Notamacropus eugenii: one gene and its partner. The protein of the gene in region 1 purifies or fractionates together with the protein of each later gene. This does not show direct contact. Links are inferred from orthologs where the notes say so. Each region holds a gene or a part of one and is shown on either strand. Other genes may lie near its edges.

Region 1 (8,006 bases):
TCAATTTGTACTAAACCCAGCATATTCAGTTTGCTGCAACCTACAAATGGTTAAATACATTTGATTTCTAAGCTATATGACCAACTCTTAACATTCTAACCTATAAGATTCTGTAACAGTTCAATTTTTCACTGTTTAACTCATAAAATTCCTTACATTGAAATTAAATGAGATCCAAGGCTATAAAGTTGATACAGTTGTTGATCTGTAATAGTTCAAGGAGTCTATTTACCTAGGTTTCCCTAGGAAATCACATGTCTAGCCCTATACATACATATGCAAAATCCATTTAAAATAATGCATTCATCTCATTTTTCATACTTAACCTAATTTATCACTCACCTGAATAACTCTCTAAGGTACTCCTAACTCTTTTGTGTTTGTGACTTTTCTCCCTAAATGTCATTTGTATATAATCAGTAAATATTTGCATGTATATGAACACACCAATAGAGATGTATATACATATCTATAGATATACATACACACAGACACATATATAGGTTTATTAATCTTAATGTATTCAGTAAATATCAGCTATTAATTACTATTATCATATATTTCCATCATGATATTCAAGGTACATTGGTAAAGAATCAATGATATTCCACCTTGCAGTCAAACAAACCATTGCCTTCTAAAAGTCCAGGAAACCCCAAAATTATTCTAATGGATATACAACTACGTTCTATCTTTATTATAATATTCATTTCTGTATCACTTGCTTATGTTCAGTATGCATTTAATAATTTAATTTCAATATTCCAAATACTATGAAATAGTCAACTCTATACCACAGATTGCTTTGTTAATAATCATTCTGTTTTTTGTTTTAGAACTTAAGGAAACTACCAATCTGATATGAAATAAATTTACCAGAAAAAGTGCACTTACTTGGTTGATCTGCATAAGTTCTCAAAGGAACTGCAGAAATCCCTGGTAGGCCATAAGGCATTCGGCTGAAGTGGCCTCTCTTGAAGAGATAAAAAGCAAGTTTCACAGTATGTAAATATTTAACTCCAATACAGTTCAAAGTTGGTAAGAATACTTACACTATTTCTAATTTCCATTGTTATATAAAAGACAAGAAGGATTATCAAAATTTTTAAAAGGGAAAAAAGAGTCACTGAAGTATTTCTTCTAAATGTTCAGAAAAGAAGAGGGGAAAGTTCAGTAAGAAACAGACAGGACAGCTTTGAAAATAACATACTGAATTTATTATACTCTATGAAAGAAAAACAAACTATATATAATGCATATTCACATACCAAAGGAGAGAATTTTAATTATTTTGTATTTATTCTGTATAGATTTATATCTGTGCATGCATGTTGTCTTCCCCAACAGAAGACAAGCTCCTTAAAGTTAAGAACAAGAATACTTTTGCATCCCCAGTACCTAGCATAGTTCCTTAGTACCAAATAGGCACTTACTTGCTTACTGACTGGCAAAATTTCAGAAAAGTACAGCTAAATGTCCTCATAATTCAGTCAAAATCCCTTTACTTAAAATAATGTATTTATCTAATTTTTAATATATTAAGCTCTAATTTATCACTGACCTGAATAAATCTGTGACCCTAACCCTTTAGTATTTTTTACTTTTCTCCCTCAATATGTCATTCATATACAATCTGCAATATTTGCTGAGAAGGTCCTATGAAGATGTTTCTTAGTTGACTGACTATGGAACAAACACTAAGTTCAAATTTTGTACAAAGCACTATACTAAACACCCAGGGGAAATCTCTAAAAGTTTCAATAAAATATGGCTCCTCCCTTCAGGAAGTTTTCAGTCTAGGTTAGGGTAAGACACACAACTATAATACAATGCTACTTTTAACAGGACATTAAAGAGTGGCAAAACAAAGAGATAAGTGAATTAGGAGGAAGAACTATAGTAGAGTAGGGATGATTCACGATCTATCAGTCATCTACTCTGTCAAGCACCGTTTTGGGGATACAAATACAATGAATTAAACAATCCCTGCTCCAAAAGGAAGAAGTGACTCAATTTCCCTTTAAAGGACTGGTAATCAGTTGAACCTGTAAAGAGGAAGAACGTTTCAAATATAGTCCAAGCAAAGTAAAAAGAATATGAAAGTAGTGTAAGATGGAAAAAAATAAGCATGAAGTGGGAGAGCTGTAGAGGGGGACAGGAAGTAGTACAGTTTGGAGGACAAAAAAAATATGGAGAGTAATGAAGTAAGGTTGGATTCATCTGAAATAATCTAACAAAACATAAGTTAAACGGTTAAATTTTACATTTCTAGGACACAATTCTTCAGAAGACAGTATAGCACGGACCAGCTGTACAACTTTCAAAACACTCTTAAGACGTGTTAGCTAGTATTAATGTGGACGTTGAGGCACAAGGAGATCAAGCAACTGGCTCTTATCATTTTGCACGGGAGAGTGAGAAGCAAAACAAAAATTTTAACAATAATTTCTCTATCCAAAATATTCCTTATGACAAAGGGAAACAGCTAGTAAAGGCTGTAATTAATTTTCCCAGGGATCTGAGAAAAAAATAAAACCTCTTCGGACCTCAGTTTCTTCGTCAAGAAGAAGGAGTGGAAAGAAATATGTCTCTTAAGCAGAGGTAGGAGGATGTCTATTTATTGAGATGGTGGTGGAGTGGATTTTTGGCCAACCAATGCCAACCAATAGCATGACTCTGGGATCTCCTAATATGGTCCGCGTTAATAGTTCTACCAGTTCCATTCGATAAACATTTATTATATGCCTACTATGTGTCAGGCCCTGTATTAAAGGCTGGGGATACAAAAAGAGGCAAAAAATGGCCTGGCCCCCCAGGAGCTTACACCCCAGCATGCCCAAAGAGTACGAGTCTTGCCAAGGATGGGCGAGGAAAGCAGACTGAGGCTTGTCGTGTAAATGTAAGAACTAAGTTTCTATCCTGCTGGCATGGGAAACTAGGAGGGACATCACGTCGGTGCCCTGAGCCGCCTCCGGTTCCACCTTTGTGAGATGGGCACGATGGTACTGTGCTGATGGTTTACTTAGCAGAGCTGTGCGGAGGGCCGCCTAGGTCTTAGAAAGGAGCGTGGTTACTCCTGCAGCCTAAGAGCTGCTCCGTCCCGGCCGCCTCTCCCAAAGCGGAGGCTGGGGCAGCACGTAGCGTCCTGGACTAGGGGCTCCTAGGACACAAGTGACATTTAAAGTGGAAGGAGGGAGGGGCTGGGGAGCGCGGCGGAAGGTGGCCTGGCTTCCCCGCCTCGGGCTCCCCTTGAGGGCAAGGCTGGGGCAAGGAGCGTGAGGGTGACCCCGAGCAGGCCGGGAGCGGGGCCGAGGACAACTAGGCCAAAGACAAGCTTTTCTCCCCCCGCCCCCAGGCTGGGTTAGGCAGCCATGGGGAGACACCAGCCCAGGCCGCGGTCCTGCCCCTTCAGGCTTGGGGCCTAGTCCCGTTAGCTAGCCGGCCCGTCCCCGCGGGCCCCCCATCTTCCTGACCATTCCCACCCCAGGCGGCGGGGCTGTCCCTTACTTTGGCCAGGGCGCAGGACACACGGCTCCAGCTCTGCATTTTTCTCCTGGATGACCCGCCGCCGTGAGATTTCACCTCCGCCAAAAGCGGCCTCCACAGCGCCAAGGACTCAAAGCTGCGCCTGCGCACCTGGCCCCTATCCCGACGGCCCGCGGCGAGCTCTCGGATTGGCTGGGACGCCCCGGAAGTAGAAGGCGGGAACCTCCCCCGAGACTGGGCGTGTCCTTAGGAGGGGGTGGGACTAAGGAACCGCTGGCTCCCTTCCGGACAGGCTGGGGTGTTCAAGGAGTTCTGCTTTATCTAGATTATAAATTCCCTTTCTAAGGGAGGGGCGGCGTTCGGGGCCAGCAGCCGGAAAGACTCATCTTCCTGAGTTCAAATAAAACTTAAGATGCTTTAATTCCTAACGGTGCCTGGCACATAGTGCATTTTATAAATATATATATACGTATATATGTATGTATGTATGTGAATGTTTATTTCCTTCACTCTCTCCCCTAAATAAAAGCTCTTTGGGGTTCTCAGTATGCTAAGAGTGTGAAAGGGTCCTGGAACCAAAAAAAATGACAGTAGGAGAAAAGAAAGGAAAAATTGGATCTTTCCTTTATAGATTTCATCGCCTTCTCATTCCCTTGAGAAGGGGGGGAGGTAGTGGCTGACCCCCAGCTTATAAGAACTGAGTTCACAGTCCTGTGTCAGACAGCTACTGAAGGTGTGACCCTGGGCAAGTCACTAACCTCAGGCCCCCAAGAAAACCCTCTGAGACCTGTAAGCTGCAGAGAAGACTATGATCTGCACTGGCAGAGGGAGATTCCAGCTCAGAAATTGTAAAACAATAGCAAATTCAGTCCAAAAAAATGTAATTCACTCTTCCATCTTGCCACAACCAAGACCATTCCTCTCCAGTACACAATCCCCAGTTTCAGAATCCCTGAATTCCTCTTTTGCTGTACAAACAGGAAAAACAAGTCACTCTGGTGGAAGGAACCTTAGTGAATGACGTGTTTTCTTAGCTGAATGAGACCATGAGTTGGAGGTAATATGATAATAATGTGAGAAACCAACCTGTCAGAGAGCCATAAAGGTCAGTGTTAGGTCCTTTCCTGCAATTTGGACACCATTTGTATGGTAAGCAGAGGTGTCAAGCATTACAGCTGATTAAAAATTCAATTGACAGTAATTAGGTAGCAAGTAATTTCCATCTATTGTTTCCCCTCCTAATTCTCCTAAGTAAAACAAATGGCAGTGAAGTCTCTGAAAAGCAGAGGTCTAACCTCCTTTCCTTTCTCCAACATTACTCTCTTTAAAAGAAAATGTTTTGGGGGAACTAGGTGCCCTGTTTTGTTTTATTTTGTTTTAATTTAGGGCCTATCTGTAAAAGCTGAAGAGAACAAGTCAGTTAGACTAGGTTCAGGGTAATCTAGGACATTTATTCCTAGCTGGATCCAGATATCACGGATTCAAAACGGGGCTCAGGTACTCACTAGTTGTGTGATGGCAGGTATAGACTATAATGTAACCAATCATGACTTCAGAGGACTCATGAAGCATGCCCAGAAGTGGTGGATTATAGGTGCAGAATGAAGGATACCTTGTCAGACTTGACTTATGTGTTGAATTGTTTTACTTAAATGTCCTACTTTGTTACAATGGAAGATTCTATGTGCAGGGAAGTCATTGGGAAGTGACAGTGATGTAACCCCAAAAAAAACATTTTAAAAGGGAAAAAGAAAAGAAGCTAGATCACTCCTTCACCCCATCCCAGCCCCCAAAAGTATTTTTACCTTAGTTTTATTTCTGATTTTTGCATGGGAATTTCTTGGTAAAACTAGATAACCATATCTAGATAAGTTATTGATTTCAATTATTATTGATAATTATTTTTTTCAATTATTGTTGATAATTATTTATTTCACTTTTCTCCACCAAGGTATATCACAAGCAATGTATATTGGTTAGTGATATCATACTGTGATGGGCATAGGACCCTGTCACTAAGAACAAGCCAACCATTCCTGACCAAAGTGGCCTCTAACCAGTCTCCAACTGGCAAAATTGAACTCTCTTAGCCCAGGGCAAGACTTTTGCCCCTACTGCTGAGCTGCTATATCTTTATGAATTTGACAGCTCATATTAAGTGTCCAGCTCCCAGAGGCTATATGTGTGACAAATCAATGCTCATCTGGAAAGGAGAAAGACTGTCTTATCCAGTGGTTTCTTGGATCCAGTCTTCAGGAAGACTTATCTGATGAGAATGAACTATTTTTAGAAATAGTTTTAGCTGATCCTCTCCAGTCTTTCCTTATTCCTTCCCCAGCAAAGAGTTGCCTTAGCTTCATGGGCCTGCCCCTTCAGATTGTTCCATGTACCCTGGAAAAGTAGCTCAGGTCTCCCTTGATTGGCAGATTTCCTTTTCTTTGGGATAATTTAGGAACCTCTTCCCAGAAAGTGGTACCGTTGGAGTGTCTTGCTTTCTAAGAGCATGAAGAAGATGAAATTGTTGCTATATAATTAGAATGAATATATTTACCTGGAAGAAAGACTTTGTTGACTTGGTGGTAATTCTGATTCATTGGGTGAGGGTGAGAGTCCTTATTTATCCTCTGTGGAAGAGAGGGGCAGCCCTTCCACAAAGGCCTCTAAGACAGGCAAAGATTTTGTATCATTCCCCTGATATAGATTGCATCCACATATCAAGTTCATTCAAGATTCCTTAGAAGATGTAACAAAACAGATAATCTTATTCATTGAGCCTCTGAAAACAAATATCCATCAAAGCATATATCAAGTAGATGTCATGTTTTCAAAAAGGTATTTACCACTGTGATCAAAGAATGCAGAATCCAGGTCAGAGAGAAATTTCCTCACATTTTCTGTGAAGTCCATTAGATGCACCTCTTTATGAATAACATTGTGCTGGTTGCACCAAGCCTCAGAACATTGATAGTAGAGATCTATAATCACTCAAAGAAGTTTCACCTTTCCATACACATAGGAAAAACCAAGTGGATAAAGAATGTCTATTGCTGAATTTCAACATACATTTGGATGAACACCCTAAAGAGCTTGTACAGTTGTGTGTGTGTGTGTATGTGTGTGTGTGTGTGTGTGTGTGTGTGTGTGTGACACCCAGGACAGAAAGTACAGATAGCCCAGAGTTGCTGTTGTTATTGATGATGATGGCCATAGATGCAGTGGGAGAACTTGGACTTTTTTAAGGTAAGGTCTTTCCCAGGTCTCAGTCTGACTGAGGCAGCACACATTCAGTGATTAAGGGTAGATAAGAAGTGTGGCAAAGAATGGTCTCTTTGATCTAGTAAAAAAAAAAAAATCAGTCAGGTTGGGAAGACCCTTGGGGTTTCTGGTCAAAACAGAAATAAATACTATTTGCATTTACTCTGAGCCAAACAGGGCCCAAAGTATGACCATTAAGTGGTGCTTGAGTTGGGACCTATTGTTGATCGATCAATGAGAGTCAGAGTGAATTGCACTTAAGATTTGGCCCTTAAGAAAGAAATCTAGCCTATAAACCCCAAAATATCTTGAGATGTTTCAAATTTACATTCCTTTAGGCTGAGTACCTGCAGATAAAGGCATGTATGGAAGGAGAGGGGAGGAGCTGTGCTGCCCAACTAGAACATGCTAGTTGGGTCCCCAATGAGGCACTTGTACTACTCACAAGTACTCACAGGTTATTGATTGTCCTTCATTCCTGATGACATCAGGAAGGTGATGCCATGACTTGCAAATGGTTGTGCAAAGTCACCAACCTCACTTTCTCCTCTGCAGCCATCTGGGTTCAGTGGCAAGATATAGATCAGGACAACTGGAGATGGCCCTGATGCAGTGGAAGACCTTGGCCTTTTGTCAGCCCAGAGCTGAACAGAAGAAAGTGATTTGGATTACTTTCAGGAATTACAAAGCTCATTTACTGATCCCAAGCTTCCCATAAAAGTAAAAACTCCTTTCCCTCTCCCAATACTAACATTTTACTAGTGCTGTTATATGGTAGTGAGACATGAAACACTACCCTGTATGAAAAACTAAAAATGAGTTCCACATAGAAGGCAATGAAAAGATACAAGGTGGATGTGATCAGGCTACCATATGTAACCATGAGAAGAAATAAAGAAAGGAGTTGCTTGCCAGCAAGAAGAATTGCTAGTCATATGACAAGAGGGAGGGAACAATGGGTGGACAACCAGAGTGCTCCCTTAGTACTTTACAATGTCAGAAGAAAGGGAGGAAGGCTACCAACATGTTGGATGGATCTCCTGCGGTGATCTTTGGGAAGAAGAGTCACACAGGATAGGAAAGGAATGAATGAATTATAGTCCACATTGCTGACTTCCAAATTAGTGAGAGCAGAGAGTCATTTAAGTTTCTGAGTTTTAAGGCTTCCCAAATGCTCTATACATATTGTCTGATTTGAATCCAACAACAACCCTGAGACATAGAGATATTATTATTACCATTTTACAGATGAGGAAATGGAAATG
Region 2 (8,456 bases), on another chromosome or scaffold:
ATACTCTTTTCTGTCTTCCTCCAAAGTAGTAGATGACTAAGAAATCTGCTGATATTTCCCTCTTATGGTATCTCATAATGTAATTAATCACTCCCTAGACAATCAGCATTAATTGCATAACAAAAATTAAAGTATAAAGTTTCATTTCTGGCTATGACAATATATTCTTACGATAAACTCAATTTCTATTTTCATGGAATGATCATGGTCCCAACCTAGTCTGTGAAAATGAGGTCTTCCTGTATTCTAGATGACAAATAAGAAATTTTTGGCCTTGTCTTTTCACTCAAAGGAAGCATTCCTGACACAATTACTCAGGGTTATCTTTCCAAGATCTCTAAGGGAGAAAGCCACAAAACATTTTCAACAGGAATTTTTAAACTTTCCATAGCAGGCACTTACTATCATTTTTTTTCTAAAAACTACTTAGAAGCTTATGAAAGAACCACAACAATTCTATAACCACCATATCATAATGGTCACTTTTAAGGGCTGTTTTCTGGACCCTCCTGGCTTAAGAGTGATTATCAATAGTAACTGTTGCTGTTTCCCTCCCAGCCTGATGTAGTTATTTTTCTTTGCCTCATTAAAGGGGCCATCCCCTGACTACTGCTTAAACAGGCCTATTCACTAAATGGGTGTTATCTCACTCTAAGTGAGAACCAAATAGGCCTTGGACTAAAGGGGCCAAAGTCTCCCACTGCATCCTGGGCCATCTCCAATCATCCTCATGAATATCTGGTCACTGGATCCAGATGGCTCCAGGGCAGAAGTGAGGCTGGTGACCTTGCACAGTCCTCCTTCACTCAAAACAAAGTACAAGTCATGTTATCATTTCTCTGATGGCATGGTCTTCTTTGGCAGCAAAGGACAAACACAACAATAACGATTCATATATTCCCAAAAACAGCAAACCAGGTGACTCAGATCAAAAGTAATCTTCCTTCTAAAACTTGTCATCATTATCTGATTACTAAGATTAACAAAACAATTTTTTAAAATGTGTGAATTATTTAAGATGCAGAGTCTGAGCATAAAAGAGAAAATAACAAAAGAGGCATAATTATTCAAGGGAACACAACAATGCAGAGTGAAGAAACACGAGCTTAAACTGAATATACCAGTTTCTCACTGGTAATAGCAAGGGGATGTCAGAGTATGATAAGGAGGAGCATGATCCTCCCCCAAAAAATAGAAATAATTCCTCTTTGGAAATCTCTACAAAGTGGCAAATGACAGAGCCATATAAATGATATATTGGTTTGAACCAACTTTCAGGAGGAAGATACTGCTGAATACTTTCCATCTTTTATCTCTATCATGAGAGATACATCTATCATGAATAGATACTAGATTTATTTCAAGCAACTCTGACCTAACTCAATGTTTAAAAGTCATAAAATCTTTATAGTAAGAGGGCCTTAATGTCTTATGTTTCTAAACAAATGTTTATTTACACATTTAAATTTATACACATTAGTTGCTGTCAGTTTCCTAACTTTAAACCATCAGTGTTACTGAAAGACTAGAACCATCCCATTTAAATTTAGAGGACATAATTAATCACAAACAAAGAAAAGGAAAGGCACTTGACAAACATGTCTCTGGATTTCAATTATAACATGTTTAGGAAAAAAAACTACAAAATATTGATTATGGGTTTATAATTTACTACACTTGCAACGTCCCTGACACGGGAAGAAGGCAGCGTTAAACTACTAGATCTACAAATGGAAACACTCAGGCTCAGCAAGGTCCAAGGAGCTGTCCAAGGTCACATGTGGGAATAAACTTCACTCAGTTTTCACTAAGTGTAAGGGACTGTGAACAGACACCAGAAAAACAACATGTATACAAACAGATAAATAGAAGGGAATGAGCATACTCAATGAAGGCTTCACAGAAAAGGTGTCACCTAGAGGTAGTACTTTAAAAGGCAGAGATCAGGTTGAAAGGAACCCTCCAGGTATGGGTACAGCTTGAGTTTTCATGCTTGTTATTTACTCCTATATGGAAACTGTTTTATCTTTGCAGAAAGACCTAACTATAAACCACTTCAGTTTTTAAGCTTCCTCAAGATTAGTAATACACACACAAATGTAAAGGAATTAATAATCAATTGAAAAGGCAAATTCTTGGGAAAGTTCAATAGTTAAACTTTACCTGCATATGAGGAGGATACGAGCTTCCTGGAGCCTGAACAGAAGGTGTTGAAGGCACAGAAGCAGGGGGAGGAGGTGTGGAAGTCTGTGGGGTGGGGGGGGCTGCTGCTGCTGCGGAATCCAGGGTGTAATTTTTAAATGCATCCACATCCTCTGCTCTAAGGTGGGAAGAAAACACACATAGACATTTTCATTACCCTTGTGAGTCATGGAGGAAAAGGTAACTTCTAGCCATCCCTCAATTCTAGGTTCAAACACATCAATATCCAACTGTTGCGCATGGAAATGTTCAAGCAGATAAAATCAAGAGTATTTACTTTTCAACAGTGATACAGATGACTGCTCCAATTGGAACATCTCTGGTACCTTCTGGAACAATTATCTTAGCCAGGTAGCACTCTTCTAGGCTCTCAAATCCAACTGTGGCTTTGTCTGTTTCAACCTTCAAACAGAAGACATGGGATGTTTTCAAATACTCACAGCCAGACTGACGTTTATTACCTTAATTTGGCATTAAAAAGTTCACAAGTGAAAATAAAACTTTCACCTTTGTAAAGACATCAAAGAAGCTGTTAAAGACTTCTCAGATAAAAATCAGCTTGGTCATTCATGCACCGACAGACTTATGAAAGACATCCAGCAAAGCTGCGGCATACTTCAGACTATCCACCCAGACAACCGAGTTAGTTCCGAGGCACCCCGATCCGAATGCTTTCAGTTTCCCACCTCTCCAAACTACTTACTTCGGCTATAAGGTCACCCTCGTTGATCTTCTCACCTTCCTTTTTCTCCCATCGGGCAATGGTGCCCGCCTGCATCGTGGGGGAAAGAGAAGGCAAAGGAACCTGGAAAGAAAAGAGAAGGGACACCTGCTTTCGAAAGGGCAAGCACTGCTTCTTCCCTCCCGGGCTCCGGGGCCCCCTTCGGAAGCCCGGTGAGACGCTCCAGCTCCTTGCCATGAGCCCGTCCCTGTGGAGTTGGCAGCAGGAACGCTACCTCTCAGGTGACATTTCCAGTCTGTCACGCAGTCCCCTCCCGGCCCCCAGCCACCGGGACGGGGTGGGGGTGAGGGTGGGGAGAGGGCAGGATGGGGAGGACTCGCCGGGAGGAGGGGGTCTCCGGCCCAGGCCTGGAAGGCCCGAGACCCCCGGGTCAAGGACCAGGGCCTGGGGGCCGGGGGGCGGCCTCACCTTCTGGTGGGGGGGGAGGCTGTACCAGCGCCGGCCCGGGGTCCCCAAGAGCTGCAGCTGCAGCAGCCGAGCCCGCGGCACGGCCGCCGAGCCGGAGCCAGGCCCCCAGCCCTGCAGCGCCCCAGCCCCGCAGTGGGAAGAACGCGAGAGCCTAGGGGTGGCGGCCGGGCCAGGGGCCAGCCCCGCAGGGCCCTCCCTCGGGGCCACGGCTGCGGCCGGGCTCCCAAACCCCGTCCGCTGGGCCGCGCACCGGGCTCGCCGCGCGCACACTCGCCACATTGTGCCACCGAGAGCCTGCGCCCGTGAGCCGGAGCCGCCGCCGCAGCCGCCGTCGTCTCCTGTGTGACCTCCGCGACCACCGTGCGACACCGCCGTCAACCGCGCCGCGCCGTACGGTAAAGGAGGGTACTGTCGTAAAAGAGCGAGGGAAGTCCCTCCCAAGTCGTCCCGCCCAGTTCCTCCGGCCGCGGTTCGGGGGAGGACGAGCGTGGGGCGGAGCGCCGGGGTGCGCGAGGGAAAAGCGAGCCTTGGAGAGGCCCGGGCTGGGACGGAGAGGGGAAGCGTCGTGAGCCGAGGCCGAGGGGCCGCCGTCGTGCTCGAGCTGCCGTCCGGGCTTGACGTGGGAAGGCTTCCCAGAGAGGGTCTGCCCCAGCCCGCCGCTTTTCAGAGAAGGAAACTGAGGCACCGAGCCCTCGAGTGACTCGCTCAAGGCCGCGCCGGGCACTGAGAGAGGAGTGAGGACCGCAGCGCTTATTTCTGGTCTGAGGGTCAGAGGTTTAGAAGTGGAAAAAAGTTGTCTTGTCCCATTTTACAGGTGAGAAAACTGAGGTCCAGGTGCCTCGTTACCCAAGGTACGCAGGGAGCCAGGAGCAGAACCCGGATTTTAATACAGTACTTTACAGCTGGGCAGCTAGGGGCCCACCCTGGAGTCAGGAAAATTTGGGCTTGAATCCAGTCTCAGAGGCTCACTAGCTGTGTGACCCTGGGCAAGTCACTTAATCCTGCTTGCCTCAGTTTCCTTATCTGTAACATGAGCTGGAGAAGGAAATAGCAAGCTGTTTCAGTATTTTTGCCAAGAAACCCCATATCGGGTCACAAAGAGCTGAACTAGACTAAACGACAAATTCCTTTTATTATAGCTGATCAGACGGAGAGATATAAAAGGAATTGCCCAAAATTATTGGTGGAATAGTAAAAAACAGGTCTGTGGAGGGAATTCTGATTTTTATAATCAATTTTATGTGTGTAATGAATATGCTAATCGATCAGATTTTGCAGAATTGCCTTTTCCAGCTTGTGAGTCAGACCCACAATGCAGCTTGAACTGATCAATCACACCTTGCGGGGCTCACAATCACTGGCATCCTTCTGCCTGTGTACCTGAAGTGAAGCCAAAGACTGGAACCTGCTCCTGCTGTGACTAAGTAACGACCCGCTCCCCAAGGACTCTAGCAATATTGCTCCCACGATACTCCAGAATTGTTGGATTGTCTTCCATTTGTGGGTTTGTCCTAGTGAACCACTCGGGCCCTGGGGACGACTGTTTGTAATCCCCCTGCCTTCCCACTTGTGATTTATGTATAGAACAGGACCCTTGACTCAAAATGCAGTGCCCTTTCCTCAGTAACACAGTGCCTCTTGTTCAAATACAGAAGTTTCAGTTAAGGATCCCCAGCATCCGACAGGTGGCGCCCGCAACCTCAGGGTTCCTGGCCAGAGAAGTGGGGAAAGAATGTGGACTCTTACTAAAATTACTCTATACTTGGTGAACCATTACATGAGACCATTAACCCCACCTGCCTGCCTAAGGTTACTATTGTGTAACCAAAGGATTTCCATTGTGTAACCGATTCCATTCAGAAGTCGTGCTGGGAGGTTTGATTCAGTAATTATCATAAGAAAAAGTCATAAGATATAGAGCCTGAAGGAATGTTAGCGAGATGGATCGTTTTACTGATGTAAAGGTTTTGTTAAAAGTTTTCCTTGTACCAAAAGTAACTAAAACTTCCTTAATCAACAAGAAGATTATAAATAGTCGGTGCCCTTAGGCCCTTAGATAAATCATCTAGCAGTTCCTTAGTAGGAGGTAATCAAATCTGTGGAGCAGCTGCTCTGTGAGATCCCCAGTGCCAGGGTTAGAATGAAGTGTTTTCCCTCCTCCCCTAATCAGCAGTTATCTAGTTAAAAAAGATTGGAATCATGGTATCTTTTGAAGTTGAATAGCAGAAAAGCCTCCAGCTCTCACCAACTTGGTCTATAAGGCCTCCATAAGCAGGGTATTGAACAGTCTCTACCAACAGGAAGAGAATCTCGTATTATAGTTAGCCTTTTGAGCCAAAGATTGCACAAGTCATAGTTACTCTCCGTGAAGAAGGCACCCCATCCAGAAAGTGGAGTCAGGCTGAGCAAATTTGAGGCCAAGTTGAGGAAGTAGAGACACACCTCACAGATTGATACATAGACATAGCCCTTAATGGAGGAAACAACTGGAACTTAACCCTGGGAACAGATAAAAAGTTTGCTATGGACTGAAGAAAGTCCATTGATAGCAAGAGGTGGGCCACATTGAGGACTGTATGAGGAGACAAAGGACTTCCCAGTCCTGCAGTTCTAATGGACTCAGGTTCAAGCCTATTAAGTATTTTATCAGGTGGTATAAAAACAGTCCTACATCTGATGTCTTGTTAGCCTAAGCTCTGGCAGGTCAGCTGTGTCCTTAGAGAGACATCAGTTATTATTGTTATGGAGAAGCACATAAGATAGACCCTAATGCCTGTACGCCCAGAGTTATAAATATTATTTAATCATATTAATTATAAAGCAGTGGGTTATATAATTACTTTCAGGTTGGGAAGTTGATGAAGTGTAGCAGACGGCCCGCGTCCCTACACAGCTCGGTGAAGTGGTGAAGAAAAGAGACACGGGAGGCGGGAAAAGATAGACCAATTCCATTTATTGATCCGAGGGTTAGGGTATATATAGACAGAAACTGCAAGTCTATGTGACATTCTGCTCGTCTCCTGTCCCAGTGATTTGGCCAGTCTTATTGTCTTTAAAGACTGTTAGCCTACAGGACATCTATTTTACATATCCCTTGTTTTCTGTAGTTCCCATGTTTGTCTCACGGAGATAGCAACGTCTGGGGAGCGTGGAGAGCCATTCCGCATGATAATGAGCACAGTCTCAAAGAACAGTTTCCCCAAAGATCTTTCCTGATCTTGTCAACAGCACTCCACCCTGGCCCTCAACAATGAAGGAAAAAAGGCCCTGAGTTACATATATGTGGCCTTGGGCAAGTCTTCTCTCCACTTCAGTTTCTTCATCTAGAAAAAAAGAGGTGTGCAAGTTTTCCTACATCCTTACAATTGGAAAGGTTGTTTAATCAACTTCAAAGAATTGCAGAGGCTTGGCCATTAGAAGAAGGCTCACAAGGACCCACAGAGGCTTCTGTTTTTTTGTCCTCAGTCAGGAATCCAACAGCCCTCCTTTCTGTAGGTCCTACTTTTTCCTGGACCTATGAAATCCACCTGACTCATGATAACACTAAATGAATAAGTCCAAGTTTCAGAACGATCACAAGAGTTAAAAAGAGTTCTAAAGTACTCCAGCTGAAAGGAGCATGCTGATACTCTTCCAGCTGAAGACAGTAGTGACTAAAAGAAGAAAAAGAATACACCCTCAAGAGCAGGCCCAGAAGTTAACTTTGTGATGACCCTCTGAAGAAAGGACAATGAGGCCTAGAAGCTCTGGAATAGTGAATTGCCTAGCCATATGGGTTCCCTAGTACTTGTGTTTCATTACCACTGTATTTTAAATTCAACGGGCAGCTAGGTGGTACAGTGGATAGAGCACCAGTGCAGGAGTCAGGAGGACATGAGTTCAAATCTCACCTCAGACACTTGACACTCACTAGCTATGTGACCTTGGGCAAGTCACTTAACCCCAATTGTCTCATCCTGGGTTATCTCTAGTCATCCCGAGGAATATCAAGTCACTGGATTCAGTTGGCTGTGGAGGAGAAGTGAGGCTGGCAACCTGTACAACCCTCCCTCACAAGTACAAGTCATGTCATCGTTTCTCTGATGGCATGGTCTTCTTTGGCAACGAAGGATGAACACACACACCTTTTAAGTTCATGTCCACTCTTACCAGCTTCCTGATTTCTGAGTGTATTTGTGGAAGAATATGTCCTTTATATTGGAAAAAAATGCTTTGTGACTACTTACTGTTTTTTGCTATGCTATTTGAATAAATGCCTTTGCTAAAGAACTAAATGAACCTACTAATTGATTGTAAGGGGAAGCATACTAGTGGGGGCTTATGAGCTGGCATTTGGAATGATAATCACTCATGGGATTGTCCCTAGAACCTTGAGAGGAATAACAGTTACTTCTGGGGGACCCAACCTGTCAGTGAGACCCAGGGAGAGTTCAGACATCTATCTGGCATTCAAGACTCTTCATAATTTAGCTTCCTTTTCCTGCCTTATCTTGTATTAATCACTTCCATGCACAGAATCAGAGGTGAGCAGGATTTTATAGACCATCTAATCCAACCCATACCTGACCAAGAATATCCTCAACAGCATACCAAACAGGTAGGTCATCTAGCTTTTGTTGGAAGACTTCAAATGAAGGGGAATACATTTCCTCATAAGGCAACCTTTAGAAGTTTTCCCTTCTCTTAAGCCAAAATTTTCTCCTCAATCTTATATCCACTGCTCCTACTTCTGCTTCTCTGAGGCCAAGCAAAAACAAATTTAATTCCTCTTCCAGAAGACAGCTTCAAGTACTTGAAATAGCTCTCATGTCCCTCCTCTACATTTCAGTCAAATTGGATAACTTTCTATCCCCTAAACATGCACGGTTCTTATGTCTCCATACTTTTGCTCTGATTGTTCCGTATACTGGGGATGAAATGGGACTTTCTCCCTCCGTTTGCCTATAAAATTCCTACCCAACATAGCATGTGAGAGTTGTAAAGTATCTCAAAGGCTATCTTTTATCACCTCTACCTGAATTTGAAATTACATTGAATTTTCAGGGTTGTAAAACACCATCCTCCCTCATACTAGTTAAATGTCTGAGGTAGGATTCAAACCCAG

Evidence for each region. The genes of interacting proteins can lie anywhere in the genome.
Region 2: the proteins of DLD (region 1) and DLAT purify together in Homo sapiens (affinity purification with mass spectrometry; 4 studies listed by BioGRID and IntAct, counting the BioPlex papers as one, with this or other methods). This does not show direct contact. The link is inferred for Notamacropus eugenii from reciprocal best matches to the Homo sapiens genes DLD and DLAT.

What each region holds. Positions count from the first base shown.
Region 1 is NC_092874.1:147,497,287-147,505,292, forward strand, and holds the start of DLD (dihydrolipoyl dehydrogenase, mitochondrial), read right to left. Parts: upstream 3,675-8,006; 5' UTR 3,547-3,674; coding exon 3,508-3,546; intron 974-3,507; coding exon 895-973; intron 1-894. UniProt on the Homo sapiens protein: Lipoamide dehydrogenase is a component of the glycine cleavage system as well as an E3 component of three alpha-ketoacid dehydrogenase complexes (pyruvate-, alpha-ketoglutarate-, and branched-chain amino acid-dehydrogenase complex).
Region 2 is NC_092876.1:142,177,893-142,186,348, forward strand, and holds the start of DLAT (dihydrolipoyllysine-residue acetyltransferase component of pyruvate dehydrogenase complex, mitochondrial), read right to left. Parts: upstream 3,747-8,456; 5' UTR 3,632-3,746; coding exon 3,353-3,631; intron 3,008-3,352; coding exon 2,906-3,007; intron 2,605-2,905; coding exon 2,480-2,604; intron 2,321-2,479; coding exon 2,164-2,320; intron 1-2,163.